4 linked regions of the Coturnix japonica genome follow. Each later gene encodes a partner of the first gene's protein in a complex. Links are inferred from orthologs where the notes say so. Each region holds a gene or a part of one and is shown in the gene's direction. Other genes may lie near its edges. The genes, in order: RAB8A, RAB3IL1, RILPL2 and RAB3IP.

What was found.
Region 2: the proteins of RAB8A (region 1) and RAB3IL1 are in contact, whole or in part, in a crystal structure (PDB 4LI0), measured with the Homo sapiens proteins. The link is inferred for Coturnix japonica from reciprocal best matches to the Homo sapiens genes RAB8A and RAB3IL1. Residues at the interface, in NP_005361.2 of Homo sapiens: Lys10, Phe33, Ser35, Phe37, Ile43, Asp44, Phe45, Lys46, Ile47, Gln60, Trp62, Thr72, Ile73, Thr75, Ala76, Tyr77, Arg79; in NP_037533.2 of Homo sapiens: Arg104, Glu108, Leu111, Glu112, Thr115, Ala116, Phe119, Glu120, Ala122, His123, Arg127.
Region 3: the proteins of RAB8A (region 1) and RILPL2 are in contact, whole or in part, in a crystal structure (PDB 6SQ2), measured with the Homo sapiens proteins. The link is inferred for Coturnix japonica from reciprocal best matches to the Homo sapiens genes RAB8A and RILPL2. Residues at the interface, in NP_005361.2 of Homo sapiens: Ile41, Gly42, Ile43, Asp44, Phe45, Lys46, Ile47, Lys58, Trp62, Phe70, Ile73, Tyr77; in NP_659495.1 of Homo sapiens: Leu135, Leu138, Arg139, Leu142, Gln143, Arg145, Asn146, Lys149, Ser150, Leu153, Glu157.
Region 4: the proteins of RAB8A (region 1) and RAB3IP are in contact, whole or in part, in a crystal structure (PDB 4LHX), measured with the Homo sapiens proteins. The link is inferred for Coturnix japonica from reciprocal best matches to the Homo sapiens genes RAB8A and RAB3IP. Residues at the interface, in NP_005361.2 of Homo sapiens: Lys10, Phe33, Ser35, Thr36, Phe37, Ile43, Asp44, Phe45, Lys46, Ile47, Trp62, Ile73, Ala76, Tyr77, Arg79, Gly80; in NP_783322.1 of Homo sapiens: Ser199, Arg202, Asp203, Gly206, Leu209, Glu210, Thr213, Ala214, Phe217, Glu218, Ala220, His221, Val224, Asn228.

The regions. Positions count from the first base shown.
Region 1 is NC_029543.1:3,482,844-3,488,518, reverse strand, and holds the start of RAB8A (ras-related protein Rab-8A), read left to right. Parts: upstream 1-2,255; 5' UTR 2,256-2,485; coding exon 2,486-2,609; intron 2,610-2,992; coding exon 2,993-3,053; intron 3,054-3,233; coding exon 3,234-3,294; intron 3,295-3,610; coding exon 3,611-3,688; intron 3,689-4,072; coding exon 4,073-4,162; intron 4,163-4,841; coding exon 4,842-4,907; intron 4,908-5,103; coding exon 5,104-5,154; intron 5,155-5,675. Other genes in the region: TPM4 (tropomyosin alpha-4 chain), read left to right, coding at 50-120, 348-423, 822-884, 962-1,031, 1,488-1,570. UniProt on the Homo sapiens protein: The small GTPases Rab are key regulators of intracellular membrane trafficking, from the formation of transport vesicles to their fusion with membranes.
Region 2 is NC_029520.1:7,928,071-7,933,739, forward strand, and holds the start of RAB3IL1 (guanine nucleotide exchange factor for Rab-3A), read left to right. Parts: upstream 1-2,385; 5' UTR 2,386-2,529; intron 2,530-3,297; exon of another isoform or gene 3,298-3,383; 5' UTR 3,384-3,549; coding exon 3,550-3,563; intron 3,564-5,560; coding exon 5,561-5,669. UniProt on the Homo sapiens protein: Guanine nucleotide exchange factor (GEF) which may activate RAB3A, a GTPase that regulates synaptic vesicle exocytosis. Promotes the exchange of GDP to GTP, converting inactive GDP-bound Rab proteins into their active GTP-bound form.
Region 3 is NC_029530.1:4,242,801-4,248,449, forward strand, and holds RILPL2 (RILP-like protein 2), read left to right. Parts: upstream 1-1,995; 5' UTR 1,996-2,106; coding exon 2,107-2,439; intron 2,440-2,902; coding exon 2,903-3,054; intron 3,055-4,391; coding exon 4,392-4,502; intron 4,503-4,944; coding exon 4,945-4,969; 3' UTR 4,970-5,228; downstream 5,229-5,649. Other genes in the region: SNRNP35 (U11/U12 small nuclear ribonucleoprotein 35 kDa protein), read right to left, coding at 775-1,566. UniProt on the Homo sapiens protein: Involved in cell shape and neuronal morphogenesis, positively regulating the establishment and maintenance of dendritic spines. Plays a role in cellular protein transport, including protein transport away from primary cilia.
Region 4 is NC_029516.1:32,253,398-32,259,049, forward strand, and holds the start of RAB3IP (rab-3A-interacting protein), read left to right. Parts: upstream 1-2,117; 5' UTR 2,118-2,230; intron 2,231-5,652. UniProt on the Homo sapiens protein: Guanine nucleotide exchange factor (GEF) which may activate RAB8A and RAB8B. Promotes the exchange of GDP to GTP, converting inactive GDP-bound Rab proteins into their active GTP-bound form.

The DNA.
Region 1 (5,675 bases):
GGGCAGGGCTGCAGGTCGGCGCCCGGTGACTGCTGTGCTCTTTTCTCAGGTTGCCCGCAAGTTGGTGATTCTGGAGGGAGAGCTGGAAAGAGCTGAAGAGCGAGCAGAGGTGTCCGAAGTGTAAGTAGCTTCACACAGCTGGGGGACTCGAGTGGGCATTAAAACATTGCATGGGGAAAATCCACTCATAGGGAAGCACGTGCTGTGCCTGGCAGTGGCATTGTGCCCCATGCGCCCAAATTCATGCCTTCAAACTTTTTACGGTATCTTTTTAGACTTCTTGAAAGTAAAATTAAGCCCCAGCAGTGGTGACTCCTACTATTTTATTTTATTTTTTTTCCCTATAGGAAATGTAGTGACCTCGAAGAGGAGTTGAAGAATGTCACCAACAATCTGAAGTCTCTGGAGGCTCAGGCTGAGAAGGTTGGTTCTTTCAGTAACTTTCAGATTTCACTATGGGATGGGCACAAAGTCAAAACCCGTAATTGAAGTGCACAGAAATACTGCAGAAATAAAAAGAAATTAAGAGGGGTGTCCTGCCTTCCTGTTCCAAGAGCCCATTGATAGTGCTGAGCAGTTTCTCTTTGCACATTCAGCTGTTTTGTGCTGCATGAGAAAATAAAGTCTAAGTTGATGCACAAAGTTATTTGGACATCACCATCGGAGTGATGGTACCCAAATCAGTCTGAGGTGTCTCAGGGAAGAGAGAACAAAGTGTGGGCAGCTGTTGTAGAAAGGAAAGCAGTTGTAAATAAATCCTGTTTCCATAAACATCCATTGCTGTCACAAGTGCCCTTCAGCAGTGTGTTTTGTTTCCACAGTACTCGGAAAAGGAAGATAAGTATGAAGAAGAAATCAAGATTCTTTCTGACAAGCTCAAAGAAGTGAGTCCGTCCCTCCCCACGCTGCTTTTTGGCGGTGTTTTTTAACAGCGCTCAGTTATTCTATTTAATATTCCTAGGCTGAAACTCGTGCTGAGTTTGCTGAGAGAACGGTTGCCAAACTGGAAAAGTCCATTGATGATCTGGAAGGTACGAAATTACACATTCCTTTTCAAATGGGTTTTGTATTCTGCTGGGGAAGGACAGCCAGGTGCCGGCTGTCCGGGCGGGCCGTGCAGGGCTGGTGCTGCCTCATGGCCAGGGAAGAATTGCTCTGGAAGGGGTTCTCTATCAAATCCTTGTGAACAATGAACTTTTGTTGGGCCAGCTCACAAGCTTAGAATCGTAAGACCCATTTCAATCAGTAACAAAGTCGTGATGCTCTTTAGCCCGATGGCTGAGAAATAACTGAGATCTGTAGATGAAGTGTCTGACGTGGCAGCTGCCCATATTTCTGTATTTCTGCTTCCGCACTGCTGCTCCATCATAGCTCTGTTTTCTTTTGTATCCCCCTCCAACTGCTCTGGTTGCTGCCTTCTGCCTGTCCTCGTGCCCTCTGCTGTCCGCCTCTCCCCCTGCGCTGTTCTCTGTGCCTCTGCCTGGTAGATGAGCTGTATGCTCAGAAACTGAAGTACAAAGCAATCAGCGAGGAGCTGGACCACGCGCTCAATGACATGACCTCCCTGTAGTCTGCACCTCTCGGTGCTCCGTTTGCTGTATCTCTTATGCTCTTCTTGCCTGTAATTCCTTCTGTGCTAAAAGCGATCCATCCTTCAGCCTGCTCTGTAAGAACTGCGCTCAATAAAGATCAGATGCCTTTACCTGTCCGCTTTGGGGCTTTGTTTCCTTATCAGTACTGACGCTGTAAGTACCGCTCGGTGCTCAGCGGGGGGCGCCGGGCAGCTCCGAAAAACCGGAGCAACCGCAAACCCGACAGCGCTGTTGTTTCCGGCGCATCGGGCGGTGTTTGTACGGCACAGCAGCGCAGCACTGTCCGCTTTACGCCTTTTTTTTGCTCCCTTCCTCCAGACAAACTCGCTCAAGCGAAGGAGGAGAACCTGGGGCTGCACCAGACGCTGGACCAGACACTAAACGAACTGAACTGTATATGACCCGGGGAACGCCGCGGCCGGAAGACGAAACCCGCCCTCATCGCGTCACCGCTGCGCTCTGCCGCCGCTCGTCCCGGTTCCGCTCATCCCGGACGTGGCGTCGCGCATTAAACGTGTTACACGTGTTCCGCCATTCCCGCCGCTCCGCTCCTTGCGCCGCGCCGCCTCTCGGTGACGTCACGAGCCGACAGGCCACGTGACGCTGCCCGCGCGCCCCGTCCCCTCCCTCCGGCTTCTACTCGCGCGGAGACGGGCGCCTTCCGCTCGCGGCCGGAAGTGACGTTGCGCCGGGAGCGCGCGGCCAATCGCGGTGCCGCTTACGTCGCGAGCGGAGTCCAATGGCGCGGCGGCTCGAGGTCCCGCCCACCGGGTCGGCGGTGACGTAACGCTCCGCTCGGCCAATCGCCGCGCTGCGGGCCGTGATGGGCGGCGGGCGCGGCCTGTGAGGCGGCGCGGGGGGCGGGCGGTGCCGCAGGGGCGGCGCCCGGGAACATGGCGAAGACGTACGACTACCTGTTCAAGCTGCTGCTCATCGGCGACTCGGGCGTGGGCAAGACCTGCGTGCTCTTCCGCTTCTCCGAGGATGCGTTCAACGCCACCTTCATCTCCACCATCGGTGCGCGGGGCGGCCGGGGCTGCACACAGCGCGGGGGGCGCTGCGGGCCGGGACGGGGCTGTGCCGTGCCGTGCCGTGCCGCGCCGCGGTGCCGTCGGGCCGTGCGGTGCCGTAGTGCAGTGCAGTGTGGTGCCGTCGGTCGGTGCGGTGCTGTCTGTGTGGCGGTGCTGTCTGTGTGGCGGTGCTGTCGGGCGGTGCGTTGCGGGCCTTGTCGCTGCGCTCGGTTCGGGTCCGATCCCGCGGGGCGCTGCGGGCGCTGAGCCGCGGTTCCGTCCCGGCCGTGGGGACGCTGTGCGGCACAGTCTGGTCGGGGGGAAGCGGAGGGAAAAGCGTTGGTTTGTCCTCTGTAGAAGTTAAATGTAATGAGTTGTTTGTCGTTGCAGGCATTGACTTTAAGATCAGGACTATAGAGCTCGATGGCAAGAGGATCAAGCTGCAGATATGGTGAGGCTCGTTGATGCAGTCGGTGCTGCAGTGCAGTGCTGTTACTTTGTGTGCAGTTGTGCTCTTCAGCGGTATCATTAAACTAAAGCAGTTTTAGTGCACGTGAAGACCAACGTGTGACATGAATGTCTGACAGCATTAAGGTGGGAGGTGTGTGACCCCTCGTTCCATCTGTTGCAGGGACACCGCCGGGCAGGAGCGATTCCGCACCATCACGACGGCGTACTACAGGGGAGCCATGGTAGGAGCGCGGCGCAGGGCGGTTCGGCTCCCAGCAGAGCAGTATCAGAGCAGCCTGCAGTGCTGCAGGCACAGCTGCCTGGACTTGGCTGAGCGCCGGCGCTGTGCTGGGTGCTGGGAGGGCCCGGGGCAGACGGCTGCAGTGACTCACTGAGCTCACACCCCATCATTGCATCTGGCAACACGCGCTGACGTTCCGGGTTGTGCTGAAACAGCTCTTCTTTATCAGTCCTTAAGGCACTCCTTTCTGTTACAGACAGGTTTAACTGTTGCATATATGATCATAGCCAAAACAAGTATCTCTCCTTCCTCCTCAGGGCATTATGTTGGTCTATGACATCACCAATGAAAAGTCTTTTGAAAATATTCGGAACTGGGTCAGGAACATTGAAGAGGTAACTTCTCTTTACTTGACATTCAAGGTGCTGTTTCTCCCTCCAAAAGCAGTTGGAAATTAAATGCTTCAGTAACACTTCTTTCAAATTTAGAGTGGGTAGAAAATAGATTAAATGAAAGTCAGGGAATGCTGTGGGTAACAAATTTGCAGTGTGTGCTTTTGATTTGATTTTCCTGGCACAGAGCTGATGGTTCACAGGGCGCTCACAGAGCAGTCGGTGCCTGCAGTGCAGTGCTGGGATCAGGTGCTGTGCAGGAGCTCAGAAACCTACAGAGTGCTCAGCACCCATGTATCCATTTGAAGTTCTTGATGGAAACCTCGTCATTTGGCAGTATTTGTAAGACATAAACACAGTCCTTTCTTTCCTCTGTTCCTATCTCAGCATGCCTCTCCGGACGTTGAAAAAATGATCCTTGGGAACAAATGTGATGCAAATGACAAAAGACAAGTTTCTAGAGAGCAAGGGGAGAAGGTAAGTGTCACGGGCTGCGCCCAGATGCTGAAGGTGAAGGCAGTACGTAGAAGTCAGTGCTCCCTGGGGTGATCAGTGTCTGCAGAGCCTGCTGAGCTCCTTCCTGCCAGCACTGATGCAAAGTGCAGTTGCTGCCTGAGCAGAAGCAGCCTGTGCTGCAGTGTAACAGCAGCGCTCATCGTTGTGTGTGCCTCCTCAGTGGAACTTCTGAGTGCAGCTACCGAACGCTTCCCAAGCTGTAGCTGCAGTCCAACAAAAAGATGAGTCTGTTCAGAATGCAGCTGGGTTACCTGGTTGAGATGTTAGATGCGGAGTAACTGAGTTCTCAGCCAAAGAAAGAAAATCATTTAGGAATGGCTGCTTTTGTCATACACAGGTAGGCAGGGTTGTTGTTTCTGGCATCGGATGTCAGTTAAAGTAGAGAATGTACTTTTATGTACCACAGACGTTACAGAACTGACAAGGTATCTGTTAGAAATAGATGTATGTATTTAAAGACAAAGGAGCAGACAAAAATGTGTGTTTTGTTCTATGAAAAAGAAGAACAAAGTCCAGTAAGAACAGATGCTGATAGCAATGCAGCTCAGTTCCTGGTTTGTGGAGGAGATCCCGCGCTGTCTGTTATGTTTATGGCTGTTCCTGCAGCCACCCGACTAACACAGAACCTGCTTTTGTTCAGCTTGCAGCGAGTTTTGGAATTAAATTCATGGAGACCAGTGCAAAAGCAAATATAAACATAGAGAATGTAAGTACTGCGACCTTTCTCTTGTATTTATTGTCTTATAACGCGTGAAGATAAGCTGTAAGAACAGTTGCCCATCCTGACTGAGTGCAGAACTCAACTGCTGATACTTCATATGGGCTGTTACAGTCAGAAGGGCAGATTATTGTTAAACAAAGCTGTTAAGATTGTGTTTTATTAACTGTATTTCTTATTACAGGCATTTTTCACTCTTGCCAGAGACATCAAAGCAAAAATGGACAAGAAGTTGGTAAGTGACTTCTACTTAGGCTAAGCTTTGTTTAAATGGAGGATTAACACCAAGAGCTGCATCGCAGTGAATGGTCTCCCGTGGTCTCCGCCTGGAATGCACTGAAGGTCACAGAGATTTGTTTTTAGGTTCAGAACTGTGTTCTGCTCACAGCATGGAAACCATTGGGTCTGTGTTTCAGGATTCAGCTGCAGTTGTTGATGTTCTCTGAACAGTTTTCCTGTGTGTTGTTTAGAAAGCCATGCGAGTGGTAGAGGGGAGCTGCTTTGCGATATTTCTTGCTCCTGCAGTCTGGAGAAGTGAACTGTATAAGTTTTGAGTGTCTGCTTCATACTCTATTGGCTTCATTTCATGAAGAAAATCAGATTGTTTCTACTTTACTGGTACCCTGAAGTATGCAGCACAAACCAAACATATCCTGCAGTTTTTCTGGCCTCTGCTGTCTTTGGTTTGATGGAAAGGAGAGCCGGCTCTGTACTTGTTGGTCAAAGGCAGAAGTAGGATGTGCAGCTCTCTGACTT
Region 2 (5,669 bases), on another chromosome or scaffold:
TCACACTGCACTGCCTGTATTAACTGCTTTGTTGTGGGGCTGAGCTTGCTGCAAGGTCCCTGAAACACTGCTGCTGGGTTCCAGCTGCTCCCAAAGGATTTTTATAGCAAGAATCATAGTGCTGTCATCCCAGCAGGGTCCCTGAATGACTCAGGATGATGAAAATGTCTCTAAACACCCAAAGAGTTCCATGTATGGGGGAAGACATGAGAGAGCACAGGATTGGGCTCTCTCTGGAGGCAGGGTTGTCCACATGAAGGGTCAGGGTCTGGGGAGGACACATGTCTTTGAGATACCACTTTGCATACACATCTAGAGAGAAGGGATTACTAGGCAGGCAGACAGAGATAGTTCTAGAGGGCCCCAGTGCCTGAGTCCATGTCCTTTTACATGGCAAGAACAAAAATGGTTCTCTTGATAGATTTTCTGGAACTGTGGGGATTTTCTGTGATCGTGGGGACTCTAAGGAGGAACAGCAAAATCTTGAGCATCCAGCTCTTGATGGAGGGATATGTCCCTATCTGGGGGACTCTGCTGCCCTCCTCTGAAAGCAGCTCATCCAGCAGTTCATATGGCTCAGAGTTACTGTTAGGACAGCACCAAACATCCGTGGCATCTAATAGGAAAGTAAATAACTGAGGGACTACCAGTGTGGCAGCAATACTTGGATCACTTTCTGCATTCCCCGAGGCCTCAGTTCTTCCAGGCCTGAAGCAAACTGCCAGTCTGAAAGCAGCAGAGGAGGAGCAAGGATGCACTGACGTCCATCCTCAGTCTCGCTGCCTTCCCACTGTCCTTGCAGGCCCTGGAATCCTTCCCATTTTCTCCATTTTGCAGATGTGCAGATTGGGTTACTGTGACGGGAAATGAATCCCTCCCCCTGTGCTGACTGAAATTCATTTGCTGCAGCTGCCTCCGGGAAGGGGACAGAGCCCTCCCTGCAGTCTGACAGAGAACAAGTGCTTTTCTCAGGACACCACGGGTGTCAAAGCCCAGTGAAACCCCTCTCCCATCTCTGCTTTCAGTGCCAAGATAGATGCTGATGGGTTTTATTTTTTCAAACTAACACTCTTCCTCGGAGTGTGATGTAGAAAAAAAACACCAAAATATGAGAGTATCTGAGGAATTGCTGTTTTTATAGACAAGACTGACTCTGATGTTTGAGCTTGCCGTGAGCCTTTGGAGAGGATGCAGTGACCATCAGTGCTTTTGTGAAGAACCTCAGGCCTCTCACCTTTACAATGCAGGATTTGTGGCAAAAATCCATCTCATTCGGGACCCATGGAACTCAGGACAGGCTGAGGGTGCTCAGTGTGTGCTAATTGCTGTCTTTGAGGACCATGTACTGTTTGGACAGTCCTTTCTTTCCAGGTTTCCCAGCTGCTCTTCTTTTTCCTGTCTCAATGTCTCTTCCTCTGGGCTCAGGCTGAGCTCTTCCAAAAAACACTGCTGTCAGCAGGGAGCAGCAGCCGAGATCTGGCAGGGGTCAGCAGTGCTTCCAGTGCCACAGCAGGACTGTGCCAGGCTGCATCTGCCTGAGCAACACAGCTCTGCTACCCCCAGACACAAGCCTTGTTGCTCTTCTTTCTCTGCTTTTTCATTCTCCTTTTCCTCCCTGTTGCCCTGGGAAATGGGCAGCAGTTTGTTTGGTGCTTAAGGCAGATCTCGTCTGTGAAACTGGAGATCTTAGCCCCAGAGATCCCAGAGGAGCCTTGCTGGAGCCCTCCTCACCAGTTGAGCAAACATGCTGCATGGCTGGAGGGAGGGGAGCGAGTGGGCGGATGGATCCTGGAGTGTTACACTCTTGCAATAACATCCGCTCTGAGTTTGCTGGGTCAGGGCCCTACTCCTGCTTTTCAGCATCTACAGCCTTCCAGCCCTCCATCAGACAACCCGGCTGGAAACATTCTCTTGCTGCCTTTTGGACTCTGGAAGCAATTCTGCCTTTCTAACCCGAGGACCCTCCATGCTGGGAGTTAATCATTACAACTGATTAGTTCTGGTGCTGCCTGCAGAGCTGCGGATCTCCCCTTCCTCACAAAAGCTCCCAGCAGGTAACAAAGGTTACAGCCACGGATGTGGCCACCTCAGACACTTTGCTCTGGCACCTCAGATGATTACGGACCAGATGGGACTGGGCTGTAATATAAGGGAATGGCCTCCAGCTGTGCCAGGGGAGGTCCAGGTTGGATATTAGGAAGCATTGATTGACGGGAAGAGCGGCGATGCGGTGGCACGGGCTGCGCAGGGAGTGGTGCGGTCACGGTCCCTGGGGGTATTAAAGGACAGGGCAGCATCAGATACTCATCCCACAGCCCCCCTATGGGGCGGTACCCCCCCCAAATCACGGCGTGCTGACGGCAGCGCGCACGCGCATCCGCGGGGCCGCGCTTTAATCACGTGGCGCCTCGCTCTGCCCCCTCCCGTCGGGGCGGCCCCGCGGAGCCGGGCGTGCTGCGGGAATGGCGGTGGCGGGCGCTGCTTCTCCGTCCCCTCCGCCGCCGTGATGCGCCGGGGGCACGAAGCGGGGTAGGTGTGCGGGCGGCGGCTCCGGCCGTGGGTCGCTGCGGGGCCGCCCGGGTAGAGACGCGCCGCGTCCGTGCGTGCTGCGGGGCGCCACGCAGCGCTGTCAGCCGCCGCTCCCGGTGCGGGACGGGCAGCAGCCCGCAGGGAACGGCCGTGCACGGAGCCGCAGGAAACTGCGGGGTCGGAGCGGCAGGAAGCTGCAAAACTGCCGAGCCTGCACTTTTTTTGTTTGGCTTTTTCTGCGGAATCCAACTTGGGCAGTTTGTGCTGTGCTCGGCTTTTTTTGCTTGCCTTCCTTTTTAATTGCTTTTTTTTTTCGGTTCTCCTTTGCCCTTTTCTCGCGCCTGGAGGACGGGTAGGACCCGGCCCGGTTCCCGAGCAGCGCAGCCCATCGGGGCAGAGCGCAGGTGCACCGCTCCGTCGGGTGCCGTCGGCTCGCTCCGTGCCTTCCTGCCGTCCCTCCCGATGCAGCAGCGCAGCGCTCTCCTGTACTGATAACTTTCCTCCGAGAGCTCGAGTCACGAGGAAACGGCTCTTATCTCTTTTTTCCCTTCCTATTCCATGCGAATAGCTGGACTCTTAGTAGCTAAGCGGGCTGTTGTGGTGTCCCTTTCTCTCGTCTCTTTCTTTCGCATCTGTTTGGTCCTGATTTCGGTTTTCCCTTTCTGCTCTGTTTCTTGTCCCCTTCTGGCCGTCCTAGGGAGCTTCCTGGCTAATGCGGGAGTCCCCGAGCCGTGCGCTCGCTGCAGTTTGCCTGTCTGATCTCTGCAGGGAGGGATTCCGCGGGGCCATCCGAGATTTGGTTTAACTATTGAACGAACGCCTCTGTTTGGAACGCTCTCCCTGCTTCGTGGCAGATCCATCGCAGAGAACCTCCCCTGGCTTCGTGCGGCGAGGATGAATTGGTTTCATCGAGTCTCCACCTTCCCGTGATGGGCTTCGTTCCTTTCCATTGGGTCGTTCCTTTGCTCGATACCTCCCCTTCCTGAGTGGGGCCCTTGGAGACCTCCTCGTTCCATAGCAATGGCCCTCGTTAGGTAAGTGCTGCCTTAGCTCATCTTGACCTTTCACTGATTCCCTGAATGTGTCCAGAGAACAGCTTGACTACAGCCAGTGCTGTGCTGTCTGAACACCATGCAGTGTGCACCATAAGTGCTCTCTCTTGCACTTACAAGAGTAAGTGCTGGCGTGGTCTGGGAGTTTCCACTGGTTACAAGTTGCTCACTCAGATCTATGCATCCGTGTGTGTATATGGCATTTTTATCGGCAGCTCCAGCGTGCTGAGTAGCTTCAGATTAATTATCTTTGCATGGCAGTGCTGTCTGTCGTTTTCCCTCCCCAGCGTGCTCCTTTATGTTATTTATTATACTTCCTAATAGCATTTATCACCAGAACAAGCTCCTTCTAGACCTAGTAAGACCAGGTCAAGTCAACCGTTCCTTCTGAATCCTTTCCTCCCTTCCAGCACTGCTTAAGCTCTCTTACTTATTCTATAAAGAGACTGGCAAAATCTATGACACTGACTGCATGCTGCCCCTTCCCAGTTCTGTCCAGTTTGCATGGCATGGCATCGTGGATGGTCCTGTACCCTTTCTCATCCCATGGCTCAAAGAGGTTTCTCTTAGTGCGCATTCACACCACTCCCTGTGGTACCTGAACTTCTTTGCAGGAGAAGACAGCTGGCAGACCACACTTTCTGCCACGTGGACAGGCATTCAGGCATGTGTTTTCCTCTTGTAACACACCAGCAGCTGCAAAACCTACCCAGCCTCTTCCTGCCCTGTGGGGTTGAAGTCTGGATCTGAAGTGAAGGGGGTCACGGTCTTTGTATTGCTATGGAATGTCAAAGCTGTACTGTTTTTTTTCTTTGCTCCTCCTGTGGTTTGGGGAGCAGCGTCCCTGAACTTAGGCCGATGGAGTGTTTGCTGGAATACTAAATAAGCCAGCTGTGGTCTGTTTTTCTCTGAAAATGCTCAAGAACGGCACTCCTGGAATAGCTGTGTTTAGTCTTGCTTTGTCCTGAGTTAAATGTCTGAGATGTTCTGTTTGGGAAGGGTAAAACGAGGTGTTATAACTTTGCCTACTTATGTTTTGTGTGTAGAGAGTTGTCTGTGAGGCAGTACTTTGCTGTTGAGAAACAAGCCCTTCTTGCCAGGAGTGCAGGCATCTCACACTGTACTTGGTGCGATTATTGAAGATCCCAGGATAGCAGAGATTTCCTCCCAACTCATTGCTTTGGGTCACTGTCTCCTCTCTGTTGCTGTTCTGAAAGGAATTCATGTCAAAAGCGCGAAGTAATCCAGTAGGGAAGCAATATCTGTGTGTATATCTGGGATCTTTTAAGAAGGAAGAGAAGAGAAATGGCCAGGCTGTGAATTTTGTATGTCTGTTCTGCCTTCAGTGTTTGCTTAGGGTCTGTCTGAGCTATGAGGGACTTCAGGGCTGAAACTCACAGATGAGTGTTCCCCATCTTCATTTGTTCTGATTTGTTTGATGCTCACGCCTGCAGCAAATGAATCTGACAAATATTTTTCCTGGCCTTGGCTTGTATTTAAGAGAGGGCAGTACGAGGAATCTGGTGAGCGGCTTGTTTAACCATGCTTGTAACAGTATTTGTGCATGAGCAGCTTATTCCAGTTACATTTCTCAGCTCTCTCAATCTCTGTTTGAAGAACTGGCTGCAAGAAGATGGTTTGTTTGACAAGGATTTATCCTTAGAAATTCTGCTGAGGGCAGGCAAGCCCAGCCAGCAGGCAAAGGAGCTGGTGCAGCTCTGGGACACAAAAGAGGTCCTCTAAGCCAGTTTCTTTGTATGCCTTCAACCTGCCTGCTTCACTCCTGTGCTCTTGGGAGCCTGAAGGTGCAGCACAGCTCACTACTGAATGTCCTGTTCAGTACGGTACCCCTCAGCCTCCCTGAAATGTTGGGTGAACCCAGGCTGGTTTGTCTTGCTGTTGCCTCTGAGGCTGTTTCTGAGCCTGGCAGGTTTGCTGATCACCCCCACACACAGTTTCACTGTGCCGGTTCCCTACAGCCAGACCCATTTTGAGGAAGACAGCCAGGAGCAACCAGCTGTGGGATACTGGAAACCACTAAAGCCATCCAAAGGCAGCAAGGAGGAGCCAGAGACTGGATGCCAGGAT
Region 3 (5,649 bases), on another chromosome or scaffold:
CTTTTAAAAAGGAAGGCAGGATGAAAGGCAGAAACAATCCTGTGTCCAGAGTGCAGGATCACTGAAGTTGTTATGGGGTTTTTTTTGTGTTCTGTTTGTTTTGGGCAGTAAATCATTTTAACAGTTTAATAAATATTTCTGAGAAACGAGTATTTCTTCAAGTCTAGTTTGTCGCTGTCATTTCATTCCTATTTCTTCATGAAGTGACTTCATAAAGGGCATCTGTCTCACAAAATGAGTGGGCATCTGGCACACAAAGAATTAAATATGGAGCTCTCTCACAAACACTGATCCCAGCAGCAAAATGAACAGCAAATGAGGCGAGTGCTTGATTTTGAGGGGATGGTAACACGTGCATTTCTTTTTCACCACTTTAAAACATGAACAGAAAAGTTTAATTTCTCTTAAGAACAATTCAACAAAAGATACCTGCGCTATGACCCACGCTACAGAGCTTCTAGCAGATAAAAGTCAAAGGCACAAGACAGTAACACGAATGCTGCTTGTCTGGGGAATGCAGTTCACAGCCCCCTGCTGAAGGTGACATCTACAACTGAGTCACGTCCACGTCCTCCAGAAGACACAGCTTTTTCCACACTGCAGATGCCAGAACCTGCTGCATCACCTCCTCCATAGCAGTTCATTCACCATAACAGCAGAGTTGTGCCCCCAGCCAGCAGTACAGGCAGTTCTATGTGTCTCATGCTACTCTAGAGACACAAAAGAGTAGTCACCATACCCAAACTTCCCATCATTCCCTTAAGGTGCTGCCAGCTATCGATACTTATCATCATCTCTTTGCTTCCTGGCATCTCTTTCCCTGCTCCGGTCTCTATCTCTGTCCTTTCTGTCTCTGTCCTTTCTCTCTCTCCCTCTGCTCCTCTCCTCTTTTGAGTCTCTTTCACTGTCACCCCAACCCCACGACCGCTCTCTTTCTGGCCCTCTCTTCTCTCTGCTCCTTTCATGCTCTCGGTCTCTTGTTCTCCAGTCCCTCGTTCCCTCTCGAGACCAGTTTCTTTTCTCTGCTGAGCCTTCTCCATAGAAATCATTTTTCACATTTGGTAAATTAATGGGTTTCCGGAAAGGTCTGTCCCGTCCTCCAAACCGCAGCTGCCCAGATTCTTTTTTGCCTCCAAAACCACCTCCAAGCCTCCGAGGAATCCATCCTTTGAGAGTCCTTTCCAGTTCAAAATCTACGAAGACCTCGTGCTGATCGATAACCAGCCTGTTGGCATCTCTGTGGGCCTTCAGCAGAGCACGTTCCTCTTTGTACTCGATAAACGCGTAACCCTTGGAAAACCCTGTGACCAAGTCTCGAACCAGACGGATCTTCCTGATGTCTCCATACCGGGAAAAGACCTCCTTTAATTTCTCCTCTGTTGTCTGAAGATTGAGCCTCGCTACGAACAGGGTGAGGTGTGGATCTCCCGTCACACCCTTGTTGGGGACGTAACGCGCCAGCATGGCCCTCCAGATGGCACGGTCATGGGGCTCCTCATCCGTGCCATCGATGCTCCCCGCTTTGAGGGGGTCATACTCCTTCGCTATGGGCGCCCAATCGGTCATTGCTAGCGGGAAAAGAAATCGAATTAAACACAGCTCATGGCTGGCATCTTAGAAAGGAAAGCAGGGAAAGCAGGGAAAGCAGGCAGGGCTGAAGCGCTTCCAGAGCGCAGCGATCCTTACAAAAGCCCTTCAGAACGAGCGCCGGGTCTGCCTCAGCCTCACAGCCGCTCGGGATCTCGGGCCCGGCCGGGCCCTCACAGACAGCGGAGCCGCCCCGCCTGCAGGGCCCCGTTCCGCCCCGTTCCCCCCTCACCTCTCCTCGCAGCGGGGCCCTGTCCCGGCAGCCGACACTAACCCGGTGGAGGCCGCGTTCCCTTCAGCCGCTCCCCCCGGTCTCACACCGCTTTGCTGCAGCTCGTAGGACCGGCGGACATACTCGCGTCCCGCCCGAGCCTGAAGGCGGTTCCGGGGCGGGCCCAAGGCGGCACCGCCGTGTGGAGCCGAAGGGCGGAGCGGCTCCTCCATGGGAACCCGCGGGGTTCGCTCCGCCCGCGGGGCCCGGCCCTGGGGAAGGAAGTTGGTAACGGGCCGCCTGTCGCCATGCAGCGCGGCGGGGAGGACGAGGAGGAGGATGGAGAGGACGATGGCGGCCCCGAGAGCGCGCTGCAGAAGAGCCCGTTCCAGCTGACGGCTGAGGATGTGTACGACATCTCCTCTGTAGTGGGCCGGGATCTGCTGCAGCTCAGCGCCGGCCCCGAGGTGCCCGCCGCCGTATCGCGGCTGCAGTTCAGCATGGTGAGGGTGCTGGAGATGCTGGAGGCGCTGGTGAGCGAGAGCAGCCTGAGCGAGGAGCAGCTGCGGATGGAGCGGGACAACCTGCGGGCAGAGCTGGAGGCGGTGAGGGGCAGCGGAGCGGCGGGGAGCGGCCAGCAGGTGGGTGCGGAGATGGGGATACGGCTCTTGGGAACGGGACTTGGCCGGTAGGAGGGCACCCTGCTGAGATAGGGGAACAAACAGCGTGAAATAACAACGAACTGCTCGGGAAACAAAGCGGGATGACGAGGGAGAGATGCTCGTTATAACGGTAGCTGTGGGTTTATAACATTCCGAGTTCCTAACTTATGGAGCGGCCTGGTTTACACAGGATCATTAAGGTTGGTAAAAACCACAGAGATCACCAACTCCAGCACATCACACCGTGCCCACCAACCACATCCCCACAGGGTTGGTGACCCCAGCACCTCCCCATGCAGCTGTGCCTGCACTGACCGCCCTCTGGGACAAGAAATTTCTCCTAATACCCGACCCAAATCTCCCCTCGTGCAACTTGAAGCCATTACCTCTCGTCCTGTTTTGATGGGTTACAAGATCACATCTCCTACTATTTCTCTTACAGCCCAACTTGGGACCAGATAAAATGGTGATAGACCTCACGGATCCAAATCGCCCTCGGTTCACATTACAGGAGCTGCGAGATGTGCTGCAGGAACGTAACCAGCTGAAAGCTCAGCTCCTCGTGGTGCAAGAGGAGCTGCAGTGCTACAAAAGGTATATAGCATAGTCAGCAAAGAACAAGCAGCATTTACTTCTTCCTGGGGAGCTTATCAGATGATGGTATTGCAGGTGTGAGCACCTAAATTGGGCTGGGTGCTGTTCATCCCTAGAGGAAAAGACATCTCTGCTCATGAGAGCCTACAAGTGAGCAAAGAAAGATGTGGGAACAGCAAAGCTTCTGTGCAACAGTGTTAAAACTGAACTCCCCCTTACTCAGTGCAGTTGTGGTAACTGCCCTCCTGAAATCCTACACATGGTTTCCGAAACTCCATATATACAAGCTGAGTTCTCATGCACAGACATTAACCTGCACAGTTAGAGCAGTTGCACACACTGCTCCTGCCTCAAACCACGCCACTTACCGGAAGATCGTGGGGGTTTCCATTCTGTTTTAGTAGCAAGTCAGAGGAAGTAAATTTCCTTTGAGTGCAAATGGGGGTCTGCAAGCACATCCACTGTTCCTTGTCCCCCAGCACGTGTATGGCATTACTGTAGAAAGCAGATTGTTAAGCTCTTTTGCTATCACTGAAGAGAAGCTGGGGGGTTTTATTCATTTCTGTGTTGTTTTCTTTTAAGAATGGCAGCAGGTAGAACACCCTGCACAGCTCTGTGCTGAGTTGGTTTCTTCAGAGCAGAACCTCAGTCTTTCTAGAAAGGAGCAGGTTGGGAGAAGATGAGATTCAGGGTCTTCCTTTTGTGCTACAAACTGCTTCACCTCCAAGGCTGTTTTCCTCACCCACCTCTGCCCCTCATCATTCTGGCTGTATTATAAGGTCCTTGGAGCAATATATTATTTTTTCATCTAGACTCACAAGGTTTAAAAACTAAACATTTCATCTGAGGTAACAGAGTAACAAACTCTTAGACTCACTAATGCTGCCCTTTGCCTTGTTTGTAATGGGTTAAGGCGAAGTTAAAGTTAAATCCAAGCAGTCAGCTTACAGACTGTCTGCACAGCTGCAGTTCTCACATAGCAGTGAGGCACCAGCTTCCCCATCCTGGCCCACTACCTTTGCTGTGCAACCATTGGAATGGCTTCTTGTCTTTGATTTCTCATCTGTGATACACCCCTTACTACAGGCCAAGTTAAAAATTGATTGAAAAGCTGAAAATATGCTGTTAATGAGCCAGAGCTTTGTACCAAGACAACATGTAAATGCTGCTTTAGGGTTCAGGTAATTCTATGGAGTTTGTTTGTTATACAGAGTTACGTGATAAGCCAATAGCCACCTTATCTCACATCCCAGACTGTCTGCTGAACAGGACAGCAATGCTGTGCTAAGCTAGTTACATAAGGAGCAAAAACAAACAAAATCCACTTCTCTTACCAGTGGGATCATCTCACAGAGAAAGGACCAAACTAGAGAACTGGAGCAGGAACCCTGTGGCAGCAGCTCAGGCACCAGCAAGAACAGCCATGAGAAGACAATCATCAAACGGCTGTAAGTCTGTCTGCTTCGTTGTTGTTGTTTTAGCAGAGCATGAGAGAAGGACACACTGTGCGTGCAAACCCAGGGGTGAATTCTGAACTCTGGCCTACTTGGCTGGATCTTTTTCTCCTCTCTATAAAATTCAAATATGACAGAGAAGTCCTTTTCTGTTCAACAAGCACTCCACAGGAAAGCAAGCTTCACCTAGAGAAGCAGGGTGACACTTTTTTCCTACAAAGAGCCAGAATCAGAACAAAACTTTGCAACTTGGGACCCGTCTGCACGTTAACACTCACGATAGCTGTTCCCACAGGCTTGTTTACACTGCATGCAGGCAGCTGTGCGCAGTACCACAAGCTCAGGTCATGTCCTTAAAGTTCCTTAAAGCAGAACACACTGAGATGGCACTCACACCACATGGTCCTTCTTTTCCATTTGTATTTTTCTTTTGCAGGTTCTCTTTTAAACATGGAAAATGAGTATTCTTGAAAACTTAGCCACTTCTGGGCAGAAATGGCCACAGCAAAAGCAGCTGAAGGAGTGAGGAGTCAAGAACTGGAAAACAAAGAGTCACTCTTACTGTAGAGAATAAGCAATCTCAGAATTGTTGTACAATATTCTTTCAGAATAGGCTTTACTTTGCTATTTTAGCAACCGTTTGACATACGTACACGTTTTGCATTGTTGGATTCCTTTCAGACATTACTTGTGAAAAAAAAATAAATGTTTTATATAAAGTTTTGCTTGTTCTTATTTAGGGAGCCTACAATGGAAGTGTACTAATATACATCGACCTTGTGTACCTATTGTAGTGATCAGCACAAAGTGGTTTTAGAAGACTGAGATATGTTATTTTTAATGGACACATGACATCCAATTGCCTTCACAGCAAAGTGCTGGGAAAGAATTCCAGTTGTACCCCTCATTGATACAACATGGAAGGTAATTCCCCTTCTTCCATTGACACAACTGCTTGAAAAAAAGCCCCTACATTGCTTGTGCTCTGTCTTTCTTTGCATTAAATGGGCATTTACAGGAGTGGACTTTTAAGGTTGGGATGAAAGAAAAACTAGTACAGCAAAGGAAGAAAAGCTGTTGCATCACACTCTGATCACATCAAGGACTGGTATTATTTCAGAGGTGCAAACAAGCTTCAACT
Region 4 (5,652 bases), on another chromosome or scaffold:
TCCTTAAGGAAACAAATAGGACTTATTGCCCTGATCAGACTTAGCTGGAGCTCTTAGCCAGGCACCTTCTCCTTGTATAAGAAGAAGCTCAGGGGCTCCATTTAAGCTCCCAGGTCACCAGGATTTGCTGGTGCATTGTTTTGGGTTGCCTTAACTAAACAGCCTTCCCTGGCTGTTACCACCTTGGTAAAATACCTTGAGAGGTATTTCTGGGGGGGGGGGGGAATTTACTCTTCCTTTTTCTGTCTCTGGATTTAATGAAAATGGTTTCAGCTTTTCATTTTAACCACAGTTTCTGTAGTTTGATGCTGTCTGACTACATACAGCATAATACAGGAATGCCCTGACAAAATAAATCTGTTGGTGATTAATTTTAGTGCAGTCAAATGTCTTTGGAAGAGTATTGCTTTTATTTCTTGAAATGCAAGATGTCTAATCTGGTTAAGACAGCAGATCGTCATGCCAAGTACAGTCATGTACAGGATTAAGAACTATAGGATTACAGACCCTAATTATAGACTCTTGTCCATTTACTATGTCTTAATACATTGTTTTCAACTTCTGATTACACTTGTCACGGTCTCCTTTGCAATCCTGTTTTAATGAACTTCCTGCTACATCTTCTAATTAGGCAGACCTGTGTTCTGATAGCACCGCGTGGGTTCTATTGCATGGCAATATTAGAAAATTAAATCATTTTAAAGGTTGGAGCTCTTCAAGCTGAAAATCCCCATTCTATGAGGTTTTTTGCAACAACCTTCAGGTTATACTGCTATTCGAGTACTCTGCTCTTTGCACTGCTGTTTTCCAGTTACATCCAGATAAGCTGTGGGTGATGATTCTCTGAAGACCATTTTTGCTGTCTGAGCCCCTTGTGTAGATTTACACACTGAAAAGTGGTTTGGAATATATTACCGTTTATGGTTAATAAATCTACTTTGTGATGAATGTCATCAGTGTTCCTCTTTTGACGCTGTCTTTCTCATCTCGTCATCTCATTTTGCCCTAAGTGAAGATTTTACTTGTTGGATACAGTAGTTAATGCATCGCAGAGAATATGATTTGTCTGAGGCTGTGTCCTGCAGGACTGGTCAAACAGGATTCTTTCACATTCAGTAGAAGGCTGTCAAGCCAATTAACATTTCAATTATTGAAAAGAACGCGGCCTGGATTCTTGACTGATGATTGGGACAAGACCTTGTTTACATGCATTTTTTGCTTGAGTTTCTCATCACTGAGACACATGTTTCAGTTCAGCTGTACTAACTACGATCAAAGCACAGAGTGAAACAGATACTGCTGTTACATGAAACACTTATGGGTGAACTACATGGGGTGTTCTGAAAGTAATGCCTCCTATTTTATTATGTTGGCTCATGATGCCACAGGTGGATGTTGGTGGTACAGCAGTAGAGGTCAAACCTTCTCACTAATATCCCATTTCATGTTGTTGCCGTGTGACAGATGGCAGCAGAAGGGCAATCTGACAGAATGGCATCTGGCATGGAAGTGCAGATTGATCAAAGGTGTGTCATTATATTCCTCCGTGTGAGGAAAATGGCGCCCACTGACATTCATCGATGCTTGCTGAATGCTTATGGAGACCAAAGAGTTGATGTGAGGATGGTGAGGCAGTGGATGGCACGCAGGCTCTTGTTACTCAATGAACAGCTAATGGTGGTGACTGCTCAAAAATAGTGTGTTGTCGCTGAGAAACTGCTTTACCAAACAGTGTTATCGTACTCTTTGCACTGGTGGTACTATGTATGGAAATAAATAGGAGGCATTGCTTTTGGAGCAAAATGGTGTCTTATTTATACCAGCTTTCCAACACTTTGCCTACTGCTTTTAAATGTATAGAAAGCATCATCTGGAGGGTGCCTGGCTGAGGAGCACAGAGACGCCGATGGCTCCTTCCTCAAGTTGTGGGGCCGTCTCCTCACGAAGCGCCCCTCACTATTCGCACCAATCCCCTCAGCGCGGCACTAAACCGCGCTCAAGGCGCTCGGCCATGGCGGTGTGAGGGCGCTGCCTCTCATTTGACGCCATCTCCCCCCTTGGAGGCCGCCTCCACCATCACGAATCCAGCCCGGCGGAGGGCGAGCACCTACTCCCCTCCCAGCGGGCGGGGCGGCGGCGGGGAGCATGCGTGAGGGCGGCCCAGCGCCCGCCCCCCATGTTGGCCGAGGGACGCGGTGCGGCGGCGGCCGTTGGGGCTGGCGGGGCGCAGGTACCGGGAGTGGGGGGACGGAGGGTGTGTGGTGGGGGCTGAGGGCTGAGTTTGTTGCGCCGTGTGGGGGGAAGCTGAGCTTGCGGCGTTCAGACCGGCCGTGCCATCGCCGGCTCTTTTAGCAGGCAGATGTGGGCTCGTTCCGTGTAGGAGCCCGCACTGGCGGCTGCCATCTGTTCGGTGTTTGCGTTCCTCGGTGACACGCAAAGCCCGCTGCTGTAGTAATGTTATTATTGTTGTCAGAGCAGCTCAGCGAGGGGGCTCGGGCCAGGCCTGCCGTGCCTCTGCCTTGCAGCCGATCCGCTGCCCTTGGTTCGTGTTACCGAGCGAGCCCGGCCAGCGAAGAGCCATCAATAATTCACCGCTCTCGTTATGCTTTTAATAAATAACAAAGGCGTGCGCACCCCCAGCTGCGGCGGAGGCACCGGAGCCTGTGCAGGACGGGGTCACGGCTGGAGAAATGCGTGGAAAATACCACGGGAGCCGATCTTCCTTCTGCTTGATGGGTTTTCCCAGGGAATAAACGTGTGCTTGAGGTGTTTGTTTTATTTTTAATACTGTTCTCAGAGCGTTGTCTGCGGTAAATGGACTTGAAGTTGTGTTAGACTCCGTAGTTATGGTTGGTAATGTGAAATGATAGATTAGCTCGGGTTGGAAGGGCTCATATCGCTCACCTGGTTCAGGCTAGATGCACACACATCTAGAAAGCTTTAACGTACTTCAACGTGTGGTCGCTTTTATTGATTAAATATTTTCAGCGCTAACTGGAGATGAGTTTGTCTTTAGCCAAAGTCTTAGCACGAGTTACGTTGCTGTGGCGGTGTGACCCAGAGCCAAGCTGAGCTGTGCTATGAGACTCCTCCCCAGGTAAGGCAGAACCGTGCTGTGCCTTCAGAGCAACGTCTGGGAAGGGAATACTATATCACTGCGTTTAGAGAGGCTTTGTCAGCGGAACGCTGTACTTTGAATGTCTACAGTAAGTTCTGAGGGATTCTACTTCACAGAGTGCTGATCTTTCTCTGGAGTAAGACCTATACTGTGTAGCAGACTCTAAGCCTTATTTATTTGTAAGTTTCACAAGGGCTTTATAAATGCGTCTCTGAATCTTGTGTGCTACTTCTACCCTCCCGTAAGAGGGGCAGTGGTGGTTGGTTGGCAATAGACTAAAGACTGGAAGAAGACTGCGTTGTAGTGTGATATCACCAAACATGGGGGGGATAAGATAGAAAAGCATCATATCCAAGCAGTTTTTCCTCTTCTTTTTCCTTTTTTATAGGTCTTGAATTCTGCAGACTTGCCTGTTTCTTTATTGTCTGCTGGTAAATATATCATCTAGTGTCACTCACAAATGAAAGCTGTTTGATGGCAGTTTACGAGGGTGGATAGTGATAGGACAAGGGGGAATAGTTTTAAACTGAGTCAGGGGAGGTTTAGGTTGGATATTAGGAGGAAGTTTTTCCACACGGAGGTGAAGAAAAACTAGAGGTGATGCACTGGCACAGGTTGCCCAAGGAGGTTGTGGATGCCCCATCCCTGCAGGCATTCAAGGCCAGGCTGGATGTGGCTCTGGGCAGCCTGGTCTGCTGGTTGGCGACCCTGCACATAGCAGGGGGTTGAAACGGGATGATCATTGTGGTCCTTTTCAACCCAGGCCATTCTGTGATTCTATGAAAAGCAGTAACAACACTGGAAGAGTCAGTAGTTTCTCTTGTATCTTCCTGCCCTCCAAGTGACTTGTTGCAAATTGTTTCCCTGAGTGAAAAGTTCTGCAAAACATTCTCATTTTTATGATTATGGCAAACTTGAAGGGAATTCCTGAGTCAAATCTGGAGCTGTCAGTGCAGTGGGCTGCATTGGTAACCATGTTTAAATTTGCTTCTTGTGGCTGGGCAGAAATAGAAAACACTTTAGCCCTGGGGGGAAAAAAAAATCACCAAACCTCTTTATTGAGTATCTGCATCTGATGAACATCTCATATACTGTGTTGATTTGCTTATCTGAGCCTTGAATTCATGTGAGCCTTACAAACAGTGCTGGGTATGGAGTTGCAGTAATCGGACTGCTTCTTTAACAGCTATGTGTTTGTCAGTCCACTACTGTATTTCCCCGTTGAGTTCTTTAGGGCTTAAAGCATCTCACATTCCAGGCTGTATAAATGCCAAACATTTCAAAACCCACTGAGAAGAATGCAGGCCTTATGGTGGGCAAATGCCAGTCCTGAGGAACCGGTACAAAAAATCAACTTGTCTGTCCTGCTCCCCCTCCAAATGGAAGCAGGCTCCAGAGTCTAATAAATGAAGCCTTTGAGATTTCATTATCCCCACACAGAAGGCCTTTCTAAATATTAAAACCCTACAGGTAATATGCACATATTTCGCTAAATGCCAACTAGAATTTTCTTGTCATCAGTGACTCCTTAAGCTTGTTTTTTTCCCCTCCTGTTTCCTTGAGCAGGTAACAGTTCTGTTGTGCTCTTGACTATTAAAGCTCAAAAATGAGCTGTTTGAGGTATAAAATGTTGGAAAGCAATGCGACCAGCAAATGGCTTTTCCAGCAATTAGGAGTTTGCTTTCAAATACCAACAGACTGAAATGACAGCTTTGAGCAGACCCTAAAAGAGAAACTCCAGAGCCTACAGCAGGCAGTCTTAAACAGAAGTACTGAAGAAGACTTTCCTCACAGAATCTCAGAATTGTAGGGGTTGGAAGGGACCTCTAGAGATCATCGAGTCCAACCCCCCTGCCAAAGCAGGCTCCCTACACCACGTCACACAGGTAGGTGTCCAGGCGGGTCTTGAATATCTCCAGAGAAGGAGACTCCACCACCTCCTTGGGCATACTCCTCTGTGATAAGTTACTGCTCTGTGGTGTTAACTGCTCTGACTTGGACCCCTTCTGAAAGCTTAATGAAGTGTTTTAACTTGGCTTTTCACAGCGTTCACAGCTCTTGGTTCCTGTTAGAAATGATAAGAACATGTTGAACTGTTGTTTAACTGGTTTCTTTGTAATCACTTTTAATAAATCTTAGATAAAGTAACAGATTAGTGCGTGGTTCCTTTGGGAAGTTATTTGGGTCAGCAGAGAGGTAGGAAGAAGGGGCAAAGTTCTGACAGCGTACCCCAAATTTGCATTATTTTCAGGTAACAATATAAGGAAATTAACATGCTGTAGTTTCATACTGGTTTGTGGCAATTACTTGATTTGTGTACGTCATCTGGATTACATACTGTCATCTAAAATGAAAATGGCCACATTGAGTAGACACAAATGCTATTCTAACCTTTCACTATATATTAATCTAACAAAAGTACAAAGGATATTCATGATTTTATTTATTTGATAAGTGTGCTGCCCTGAAATGTGTCGGGATATCGGCTGTTGTTCGCAGTAGCAGTGAGACACAGCACTGTGTCAACACTGGCT